Linked DNA regions of Schizosaccharomyces pombe. The protein of the gene in region 2 interacts with the protein of the main gene of each other region in a pairwise test. Each region holds a gene or a part of one and is shown on either strand. Other genes may lie near its edges.

Region 1 (4,938 bases), on a different chromosome or scaffold from region 2:
GAGAAGAGGGATACTGTAATAATTGTTAAACCTATCGATACTCTCGATAAGGCTCCTGTTTTAAGTCCTACTACCTATGACACTGTTTTTCGCTACTACTATGAAATATGTGGTATCGTCTCCAGGCAACTGCTTTCTTTTATTGCTCCTTTCGCTCCTACACCAGAATCTAAGCAAGAACTCGAGAAATTAGGCAACGATTATGACTACTTTAAGAAGAACGTTGTAGACTTGCACCTAAACCTTGCTCAAGTCCTTCGTCGTGTTTCTCCTGACGCTCCATTTACAAAACTTCCATTCTCAATGCTATTGGAAAATATGGCACACATGAAACCGCGTTACTATTCGATTTCCTCGAGCAGTGTAGTGCATCCTGACAAAGTTCACGTTACAGCGGTAGTTGACAAGAAAGAATGGACTGATAAGAATCATATCTTTTATGGACTAACTACTAATTATTTGTTGGCACATTGTCGTCATATGCACGGTGAAAAAATTCCACATCCAAATGGTTTGGAATATACCCTTGAGGGTCCTCGTAAAAACTGGACCGGAAAAATTCCGATGTTTGTAAAGAAATCTACTTTTCGATTGGCTCCTCCCGATGTCCCCATAATAATGGTAGGCCCGGGTACTGGTGTAGCCCCATTCCGCGGTTTTGTGATGGAACGGGCTAATTTAGCTTCTAAAGGAGTTAAAGTAGCAAAAACACTTTTATTTTATGGTTGCCAATATTCTGACAAGGATTTTTTATATAAGGAAGAATGGCAACAATACAAAGATGTCTTGAAAGACTCTTTTGAACTGATTACCGCATTTTCCCGTGAGCAAGATCATAAAATCTATGTTCAGCACCGTCTTTTAGAGCACAGTGATACCATTGCTAAACTTGTAGAAGAAGGGGCTGCTTTTTATATCTGCGGTGATGCTGATCATATGGCTAAAGATGTTGTGAATGCATTGGCTTCTATTCTGACCACTGTTGATGTTGACGGTATGAAAGCCGTTAAAGCTCTTCGAGATGACAATAGATTTTTTGAAGATACCTGGTAAGTTTGGAATTTATCCAGACTTTGCGATTACTTCAAGACTTAATGATGCCTTTTCATCTTAGAAATAGTTTAATACAATCATTATTCCACTCGGTATTTTTATCTATAGAAAACATAGTTTTTGTAGCAACTAACGAACAGTACTCTGTAACGTTATAATATCAAAAATAAACTGCCAACTTGAATTTCTTACTGCTCAAAAATGTCTACCGAAAATGCGAATCTACACAAAGTGCTGTGTTTGTCATGATTGAAAAACCTAAACCGACTTAAAGCTGGGTAACAAAGTAAACACTGGCAGTCGACTTCATTGCACTTCAATAATTAAGGCGATTGCGAATGTTTGATCAATTTACATACAATAGAAAGTATTTGATAATTCTTTTTTTGCTTTAAAAATACACGCATCAAGTTAGAGTACAGGATGCTATAAGTTAAATCCTCGGTCAATGTGTACTTGTCAACGCAAAACATTGAGTAATATGCGGAAAAGTTAAGTTTCCAAAAGTACAAGCATAATTAATACATGTATCCTAACTGTATAATAAAACTGAGCCTTTAAGTGTATTTTTTTTCTACGTTATCAAATCTAATGCAACACAATGCTATCCTTGATTTGTTTATTAACAGATTTCGCGCGCTCAAAAACTTACCTTTAACATATATTCAAACATTAAAGTATACATAATTTAAAAATTATTTACTTAAAGCATATAAGAGCGATGAATGGAATAATTACGCCTCAAAAACAAAAACAATTAATGTCTTCTCCTTCTCGTGATCCATTATCCACTACCGAATTGTCTACTCCAACAAGTCAAACAACTGTGGATGTCAATGACACGAAAAAAAGTGAAGGATTGGACTCTACAATTATACTATTAACACCAGGAACAAGCCCAAACGCAACGCCTGGTTCTAGCGAGTTAGGGCTTTCCAAGAAGCCAAACAGGTAAAGGGCTATTACAGATGTGTAATGTAATACTAACTAGGAATATAGTATAAAAAACAATACTTATTCTACAGCAGCACAGGCCGCGTATTTAAATAGGCGTGCTGCTGATCAATCAACCGTTATGACAACCGATCCTATTTCATATGCAAATAACAATATTAATAATGGAACACTGCCACAACAAAACGCCTACTATGCCAACTCTTATTATCCGTCATACTATGCACAGTCACAAGCCATTTCCAACAATCGACCGGGTGTCTCTGGATTCCGTCCTGCATTCAATTCTGTAGCTCCTTGCTATGGTTCACAATGGCAGACTCATCAGTCTGTTCACCCTTATCATGTTAACAATACTCATCAGTATTTAAAACCATATGTTCAGAATGGTATGATACACAGCTTATGAAAAAACTAATACTTACCAAACTTTTCGTCTTTTAGTATATCCTCAAATGCCCTCTTTAAATCAGCCGGGACTTCATATTGTCAATCAACCAACATATCTCGCGCCAGTTCCTTCAGCGACTGTGCCTACGAATTCAGTTTCTCTCTCGATGCCTTCTTTTTCCCAAGGGCAAAAAAATATTCCCGCTGCCATTAATCAAGAAATGAGTGTCGGTACAACAAAGGAGAATACAAATTACCTTTCTCAACTGGTTGGATTGCATCCTGCAATTCCTCCTGCCATTCCCAGCATGTTTCCCATGTCTCATGATAATAAAAAAAGTAACATGGAAAGCACTTCTCGTACTCGGAATGTTTACATTCGTGGTTTACCTCCCAACACTTCGGATGAAAATTTGTTGCTTTACACCAATCGTTTTGGTAAAGTTAGTAGCAGCAAAGCAATAATTGATATGGAAACGAATTTATGTAAAGGATATGGGTTTGCATGCTTTGAAGAAGAGAAATCTGCATTGATTTGCATTTCAGCCATGACTTTATGTGGATATCAGTGTTCATTTGCAAAAGAAAGTTTCAGTGCACGTCTTCAAAGTCTACAAGACACAGAAAGCACCAATCTGTATATTTCTAATCTTCCTCTTCATTGGAATGAAAGTGATATTTCCACATTGTTTAAACCCAGCAAAATCATATCAAACCGCGTACTTCGTGACTCTAAGGAACAATCTCGAGGTGTTGGGTTTGCTCGTATGCAAGATCGTAAAACGGCTGAAGACATAATTAATAAATTTAATAACTTTGTCTTGGATCCTGCTTTACCCCCATTACAAATCCGTTTTGCTGATTCCACTGATCAGAAGAAGTTTAAAGGTCAGACTCAGAAAAGAAGATTATGGCGTGCTCGTGAATACAGTGTTTTAACTAAGGGAATGACAGCTAATAATGCTTTTTCCAAAGTTGAGGAGTTCGCAAATAACTCTATGCCCTCTAAAGTTGGAATGTATGTGCCATTGGAGTCGAACACAGTCTATCAACATTCACCCACTTATGATACTTACGGTTGGCAAAGTATGTATCCCTCTTATTCCGTTTATCCCTCAAACTATGAAAACAGCAGAAGTACTACGCCATATCATGCCCATCCCGCTACTTCTGCTGCTAATTAAATTTAAACATCTTTCCAGCATTTACTTGAACATCAAACTCTAATATCGAAATCTTTTCAAACACTTATCACATACTCAAACTTAAACCAACATAAAACCTGTTAGACAAAGCTTACAATTAAGGGCCAAAGCTTTCTTTCTATGTTTTTTCTTTTATTTATTATCAGGTTATATAACAAAGGTCAAACCACTACAGTATTAATGAATGATATTATACATATTTGCTTAATCGTATAAAAAGAGAGAGGTATAAATAGTCCTTGAGTGTTCAAGATAATTGCACACTGTGAATTAAGAGGATAAAAGGGATGCAAAATTCTCCTTGATTATCCAACCATCAGATACTGATTTTCCTTTACGCACAGCGACTTTTCCAAGAGTTTCGCTGATAATATTTTTGGTTACGTAAGGAAACATGTGCCTCAAATTCTCGATCAGGAATACTTTGTTGTCATGAGAGTTACGGACATATTCTATAAATTTGGGTATATCTTCAGAAGGAAACCTTACTTGTAAATCATCAGAAAGTGAACTGGTAGGTCCAATTGTCATTCCACTAGACGCTGGAGCAGTATCTTGAGAAGCCCATAAATCCTCTTTAGGATCAATTTGGAGATATGTAGATGCTGAAAATGAACTAATGGGTTCAATTAAAGATAAGCAATTAAAGTCAGGAAGAAACTTTGAATCCCAAACCGGACCTTCTACGATTACCTCTAATGGGCCGGAGGAACGATGGGTATTAGAAGCATTGACACTATCCTTGTCATCATCCTCATCATCCACAAAAGCATTATCACCATCCTCTACAATATCATCGGAATTATCTACCTCTTCATCTTCACTTTCTAAATCTTCTCCATCATCTTCCTCATCAGCTACCCATTCTGCTTCTGAATCATATGTGTAGTCTATGTCTTCATCTTCAAGCCAGGGATTCAATAAAACGTTAGAACCATGGGAATGGGTTTTCGTGTAAGATCCAAAATATGGAGGGCGAACATCCTGATAAAAGAAAATGAATTTAATAGGAATCTGTGATAAACAAGATAAAATTTCTTGAGGTTTTGAAACAGATGGATCTTGATATGCGCTCATTAATTGTCGAACCTCGTTTTCGGAATTTCTATTACTAACACCTAAACTGTTTGCGGAGCTTACAGCATCTGATGGTGTAAAAATGTCGTTTAGCTTTAAAGGATAAGATTTAGAGGTTGAGAGGACTTCATCCAAAAAAGAATCAGATTCGTTCGGAGATGGATATTTGGAAAGGGACATCTGATGCTTTATAAAAAAAGGGCGAAACTCTTTCTCAAACTCATTCAGTTCATCCGTTTTGTCAGCTACAAAATTTTCG
Region 2 (6,022 bases):
TTTGACCCCCATAAATTCGACCCCATACACTAAAACGCAGTAAGACTAATAGATAGGGTGGGAAACACCGAAGCTGATAAAGTAGTGGAGTAATGCCAGTCGTTAAATGAATATATTGTAACGGTGGAATAAGTAATCCATATCACTATATTGGTTCAATGAATTGTTGTGAGAGAGACTGATGGATAAAAATATATACATATAATTTTATTTCCTTTTTTTTTTTTTCTTTTTTGGAGATGGGATTCCTTAGTTTATGTTGATATAAAAATAGAAAAAGACAAATGTAATAAGATCTGCAAAATTCACACAACTTTATGTTTTTGTTCACATGTTACATTCAACTTTATGTTTATTCACATGACTTGATGATTTTATTTTGGCGGACGCAGAGTTTGCCAAATTGAAGGAAATAGAGTTGTGTCTGATATGGATGCGAAAGGTATGCGAGTGGCATAAAACTGGCATCCCAGTGTTACAAAATATATATTTTTTTTTAATATTTAGTTATTCATTTACTTATTGGGTTATATTTACAAGACAGTGTGATGATAATACAAATAATAGAGTGGAGTATGTTATACGAATAAAGTATGTTATGAAAAGTTTCTAATAAATAAATTATGCTATTCCGTATGTTGTATAAATGAAGCTGCTATAAAGTATGTTAAAATTGTATACTAAAAGAATACAAGGTGGATTATGTAGTAAGAAAACAACGAGTCTTACTAGCAAGTTTATAAACTTTCCTCGGGATGAGCGATAGCATAAGTTTTGCAAGGTAAAGGACATCGGCAGTGTCAAGAGGAAGAAGTCGATAAAAAGGAAATACTCGATCAAAGAACTTTAAAATAAATTAAGGAAAAAGAAAGAAATTACCCCAATTATTTTTTAGTATTATTTTTATTTTTATTTTTCTTCTTTCTTTCTTTCTTTTCTTATCCTATTTCTCTTCTTATCCCATGCCTTACCCTACCTTTTCATATCTTACCTTGCCATCCCTTCTATTTCATCTACTATTACCTCTGTCTTGTAACACTTGATGGATGCGTGCATCAGTGTGCTCTCTTTCATGGGTGCTCGCTTCTTCCTCCTCTTCGTCCATCCAAATTAGGTACGTTCGGAGTTGATCATGATTTCGGATTTTCAATTTTTTTTCTCAGACACTCGTCTCCAGATACCCATGTCGTCTCCAAAGCAACCTGTTACTCGTTTGCGAAAAGAAAAAAATACCTTGGCAAGACAAGGCAAGCAGGCATCTCTGCCCAACATTTACTAGCAGACCAAATCGCGAACATGTCAGCTTTCTAACGTTCATCCTTCACTTACTGGAAATGGGACAGAATGCTCTCGTCGAGGATTTAACGTTAAAGGTTATTGTTGAGTTGACAAAAGGTGGAAGAAGCGAACAAAAGAGTTGGTAAAAGAAAAAAGTTGCCGCTAGCGAGTCCACCCTCTACCAATAGATCAAACGTGCCAAAAGACATATGGGATAGCAAAGGCCCAAACTCCCCCAACCCAACCTAACCTAACCTAACCTACCTAAGAGTAGTGTTGAGTAGAATGAGTTTCAGTACTTTGAGTGCGAAAGGAGTAATGAGTTTTGTTGGATGGATAAGAGCAGGGAAGCGCCATCATACGAAGCGGCTTAACAGTGAAACCGAAATTCTCCATGAGCAATATTTAATGAATATCTCACGATGTGATTGGAAAGATGGCAACCATCGATACGAGGTCATTTTTCCGAATGCCTGAGATGATAGAAAAAAGTTGCGCCCTTTTTGGCTATATATTTCTATCCTCTTTGACCCGATGTTCCTTACATGTTTCCGGGGGTGTACCTTGGATCGCTCTATTTTATCATTTAACGTTGTTGTCATTCGTGCACTAAATTGATACACTATTTTCACCCCTACTTTACGAGCCACCACTACCACCAACTCTGGCCACTTCCAATCTCAACTTGAAACAACATTAGACAACCGAAAGTTCGATTTCAATGACGAAGGAATGGGAATGTCGAAGAGAGCAGATCATCGAGCTTTCCAAGATCAATGGAATGACGATTCGCGAGCTGCAGGCGAGAATGTCAAAGATGTATAAATTTGACGCTAGGTAAGTAGTTTGTTGGTGTCGCCGCAGGGACTACAAGTTGCGCCATTTTGTGCGAGATGCTTGCGATGCGACGAGGAGCGAATAAGTACAGGGCTAGAGGTACGAGAAGGTGAATGGAATTGTGTGTTTGGATGTTTGGGTGTAGGTCGTCGTTGTGTGTCGTGCCTGCATGGACATTGGCTATTGTTGGGTATGTGGGGTTGCGACAATAAAACAGGATGGCAGTTTTCCAAAACATCCTCAACTGAGACATTCATTCAACAATGAAATTTTGTTTCTTTGTTTCTTTGTCTTTTTGGTTTGCTGTTTTGTTTGGAATATCTTTTTTTTCATCCACTTTGTCCAATCCACTTACATACAGGATACAAATGTCCTAAACAATAACCCGTCATGTATATCATGTGCATGCTCATGCAAAAGACCATGCCATATGAATCCATCCTGTTTTCCTTTCCTCTATTTCATTTGGCGTTGCGTTGAAGTTGTCTTTCGCTACTTCGTTTTCGCTCACGTTTATGTTCACGTATCGCGTACTTGTCTCTTTAGCTCTTTTTTTTTGTTGTTTTGTTTCATTACTCTTGCTAACTTTTCTCTAGTATTCGCTCATACAAACGCGTGTTGGCTCGATGGGGAATTCGAGTACATCGTCAACGTTTTGTCTCGCCCCGAACCGAAGAGGCCGCCGCGCGAACCGCTTCGGGCGACGTTTCAAAGGCTCTCGATGAACTCGTTACCCAATTATTTCATGCGCGACAAAGTGATAAAGATTCTTTGGCCCAGATAGAGGCGAACTTTGGTTTAAAACTTTCGAAACGTGCTTTGCATTATCGTCGTAAGAGATTAGCCTTAAAGCGTCCTCCTCCTGACTCCCACGATTCTCCCAATAACTCTATCCCTTTGATGGCCAACTCTTGTCTTTTGTCTGCTGATAACTCTTCGTCGTCTACAACTTCCAATCCTAACGTTGCTCCTCCCATTAGCACTCTTCCTGATCCCGTCGCTACTATATCATCTTCTTCTTCGAGCCATTTAGATATGGGTGCCATCCATCCTCCTCACCATAGCTCGCTTCCCCCTCACATGGGTGTGGATCCTTCAACTATGGCTGATGCACACAATGCGCACTCTTCTTTGACTCCTCCACAGTCTGGCTATTCTAGCATGCCATCTCTTCCTTATTTGCAGCAGCCTTTCCAAATACCCTCTCAACGTTTCTCTCGACAGCAACAATCTCATCCATTCCCTGCTGCTCAACATGCCGTTAACGGTCAGCCACAAGCTTTGTATCCTTTCATCTACCAATCTAGAAATGTCCCAATGGGCTCCACCATGTTTGCTTCTTCAAACCAATCTGCTGCTCATCCTGACGGTAATAATGCCCTTCCAATGGACAATACTCATGCCAACATATCCTATATGCAATCATCACAATCGATGCCTGTTAATTCTTATTCCTATGATCGATATACTCCAAATCAACCATCTTATCTTGAAAGTAAGCCTGGAAATCACCAACCCAGTTATACATCTGAACAACCTATGTATTCTACAGCGTCGGTTCCTCAACAAATTTCTAACGGACCAACTGCTGTCAATGGATTACCCATGAATTCATACACACCTCATTCCAATCATCTTCATTCACCCTCTCCTAACTCAAATTCAGGGCCTACTGATTCTTTGTCTGCTCCTAATTCTACATCCAGCCCTTCAATGGCGCATGCAAATGGAGCTTCTTTTGCAAGTCAGTACCCCTCTCTAAACAAGTCCATTTTTCCAGCTTCATATTCTTCTTCAGCGGAGGATGGGCAAAACATGCAAGCACCAGCACATGCTTATATGCAGTCTTCCATTTACGGCGTTAATCAAGAGCAAAAGTCGGAATATCCTTCTAATCTTTCAATGCAGTCTTCCATGTCAATTAAAGACCCCTCCCAGTTACAGCGTATACACTTATACCCTCAGCATTCTCAATACGATCCTAATGGAATGACTATGCGCGATCACTATTCTGAACGAATTGAACCGGAGGCAAAACCATCCGATGAAACTCTGACTGTCCGTTCATCTCGTGATTTATCTGTTCATAACGTTGGTACGTTACCTGTGCTAAGTGCCGCTGCTGCAACGCAGGCTGCAATGCCTCATACAATGGGACCCTCTGCTCATGACTCAGCATCAGCACCTAGCCCGCATATGCAATCGCAGCAAGCTCTACCGTATCAATATTACAATCCTCTCCCCGCTATGGCTGATCCAGCACAGAATGTTCCTCAACAGCTTCCTCCTCCCATTCACTCTCATTTATCTGATGACCAGCATATCCAATACTCGTATCCCAACACATTCGTTAATAGATTTCCTCAGAACATTCACCATCCTTCAGCTAATCTATTAGATGCAAGTGCGGCTTTGAATCCAGTACAAAATCCATTGCTTATGCCCCAACAAAACCATGAGCATTCTCCCCTGGTTCGTTCAGATGCAGCTTTGCATGACCATGGACCTTTACTTCCTGTTTATCCAGATGTAGATTCTCGTTTCGTTTAGTTTAGGTTAGTATTGCCGCTTGTTGCACTTTGCGGTTTTGACCATTTCCATGGTGTTGCTCTATTTATACTAGTACCTGTATCTTTAGTTGGTCCTTTCTGGCATTCCCTTTTGGTTTCTGCTTTATTATCATTTAGATGTTTTTTAATTTTTTTCTTCACCATTCGCCCTACCTGCCTAATGTGAGTTAAATTATATTGCCATTTGTGTCAGTATCTGGTATATGGACAGGCAAGCCCTTCTTTTTTAATAAAAGAACCTTTTGCGTTAGCTCTTATTTGAGCTAAGTTCATTTTTGATTCTTTTTTGCTCTTAATCGTTTTGTCTTTTTGCTTTGTATATAATTTTAGAAACTATTTTTAATCAAGGTCGACCGGTACTTTCGTATACGAGATCCTATGTACATAAAAGTTATATATTTAATAATAGTTATTTTTATTTTGCTTATACATTCGGTTTTTACTATTTACAAACTTTAACCAACCTTGAATAGTTATCATAGTAGTGGATTCAGTAAAGTATTATATTTAATAAGCTGTGGAAATGTTTCATTCAACAAATTATGAGTAACCGGACGTTTTTAGGTTTTTAAAAGCCTTAAAATAGAACGGATTTGGCCTGTTGAACTGACAAAGCATATCACACCATCTTGGTAAAATATATAATGTACAATATAGATCGTTCTTAGAGGGTATCAAAATAACGATTGTTAAAATGCTTTTAAAAAATGTGCTTAAATACAATCGGAAGAGCAGGAGAGAGCACTAAACGCCTTAAAATAGCTTTTACCAATTGGTGTAACCAAAGGTTTCGTTTGGCCCAAGTGACCTATATGGCACACTTTTCCAATCATAAGTTTTAGTGTACACAGTGTTTCCCCACCAGGTTATCTTACCTCCAGGGTATGATACACATAAGAAAATTACTACTCCAGCGACTGCAACCCCAGAATCCATAGCTGCAGCCAGTACGTAGTTGTACTTCCTCCACCAGTGTATCGCGCGCTTTCTAATCACATAATTAAATATAAACCCAACAATTGCCCAAGAAGAATAGTTAATTCCAGTAGCGGGAGGAATATTGCCAGGACCAGTGAAAAGGACCGGAGCATTAAGCTTTCCAATCCACGACTTAGGAAACCTTTTTCTCAAACCCCATGTTATAAAAGGAGCAACTGCACCTATCAAAAAGAAAAAAATCAATGGGTAATATGGTTTTCCTTTTGAAAACATTTTAGCGGGCCCAATTGCACCCCAAATTAAGGAGGCATTATAGATGGAACGACCGTTGGGACAAGTAAAGCCATTTGATTGTGAAGTTGTACAAATACCTGGAATGTGATAATTCATCCATTCCT

What was found.
Region 1: the proteins of clr5 (region 2) and spo5 interact in a two-hybrid assay, tested with the Schizosaccharomyces pombe proteins (one large-scale study listed by BioGRID).

Annotation. Positions count from the first base shown.
Region 1 is NC_003423.3:2,534,447-2,539,384, forward strand, and holds spo5 (meiotic RNA-binding protein 1), read left to right. Parts: upstream 1-1,703; 5' UTR 1,704-1,774; coding exon 1,775-2,004; intron 2,005-2,052; coding exon 2,053-2,396; intron 2,397-2,451; coding exon 2,452-3,581; 3' UTR 3,582-3,808; downstream 3,809-4,938. Other genes in the region: ccr1 (NADPH-cytochrome p450 reductase), read left to right, coding at 1-1,053; histone H3-H4 chaperone, CAF assembly factor (CAF-1) complex subunit A Pcf1, read right to left, coding at 3,873-4,938. UniProt on the Schizosaccharomyces pombe protein: RNA-binding protein which plays a role in sporulation. Regulates the progression of meiosis I and may function in the vicinity of the Mei2 dot.
Region 2 is NC_003424.3:5,426,408-5,432,429, forward strand, and holds clr5 (silencing factor Clr5), read left to right. Parts: upstream 1-1,948; 5' UTR 1,949-1,999; coding exon 2,000-2,115; intron 2,116-2,711; coding exon 2,712-4,665; 3' UTR 4,666-5,116; downstream 5,117-6,022. Other genes in the region: plasma membrane glutathione transmembrane transporter Pgt1, read right to left, coding at 5,451-6,022.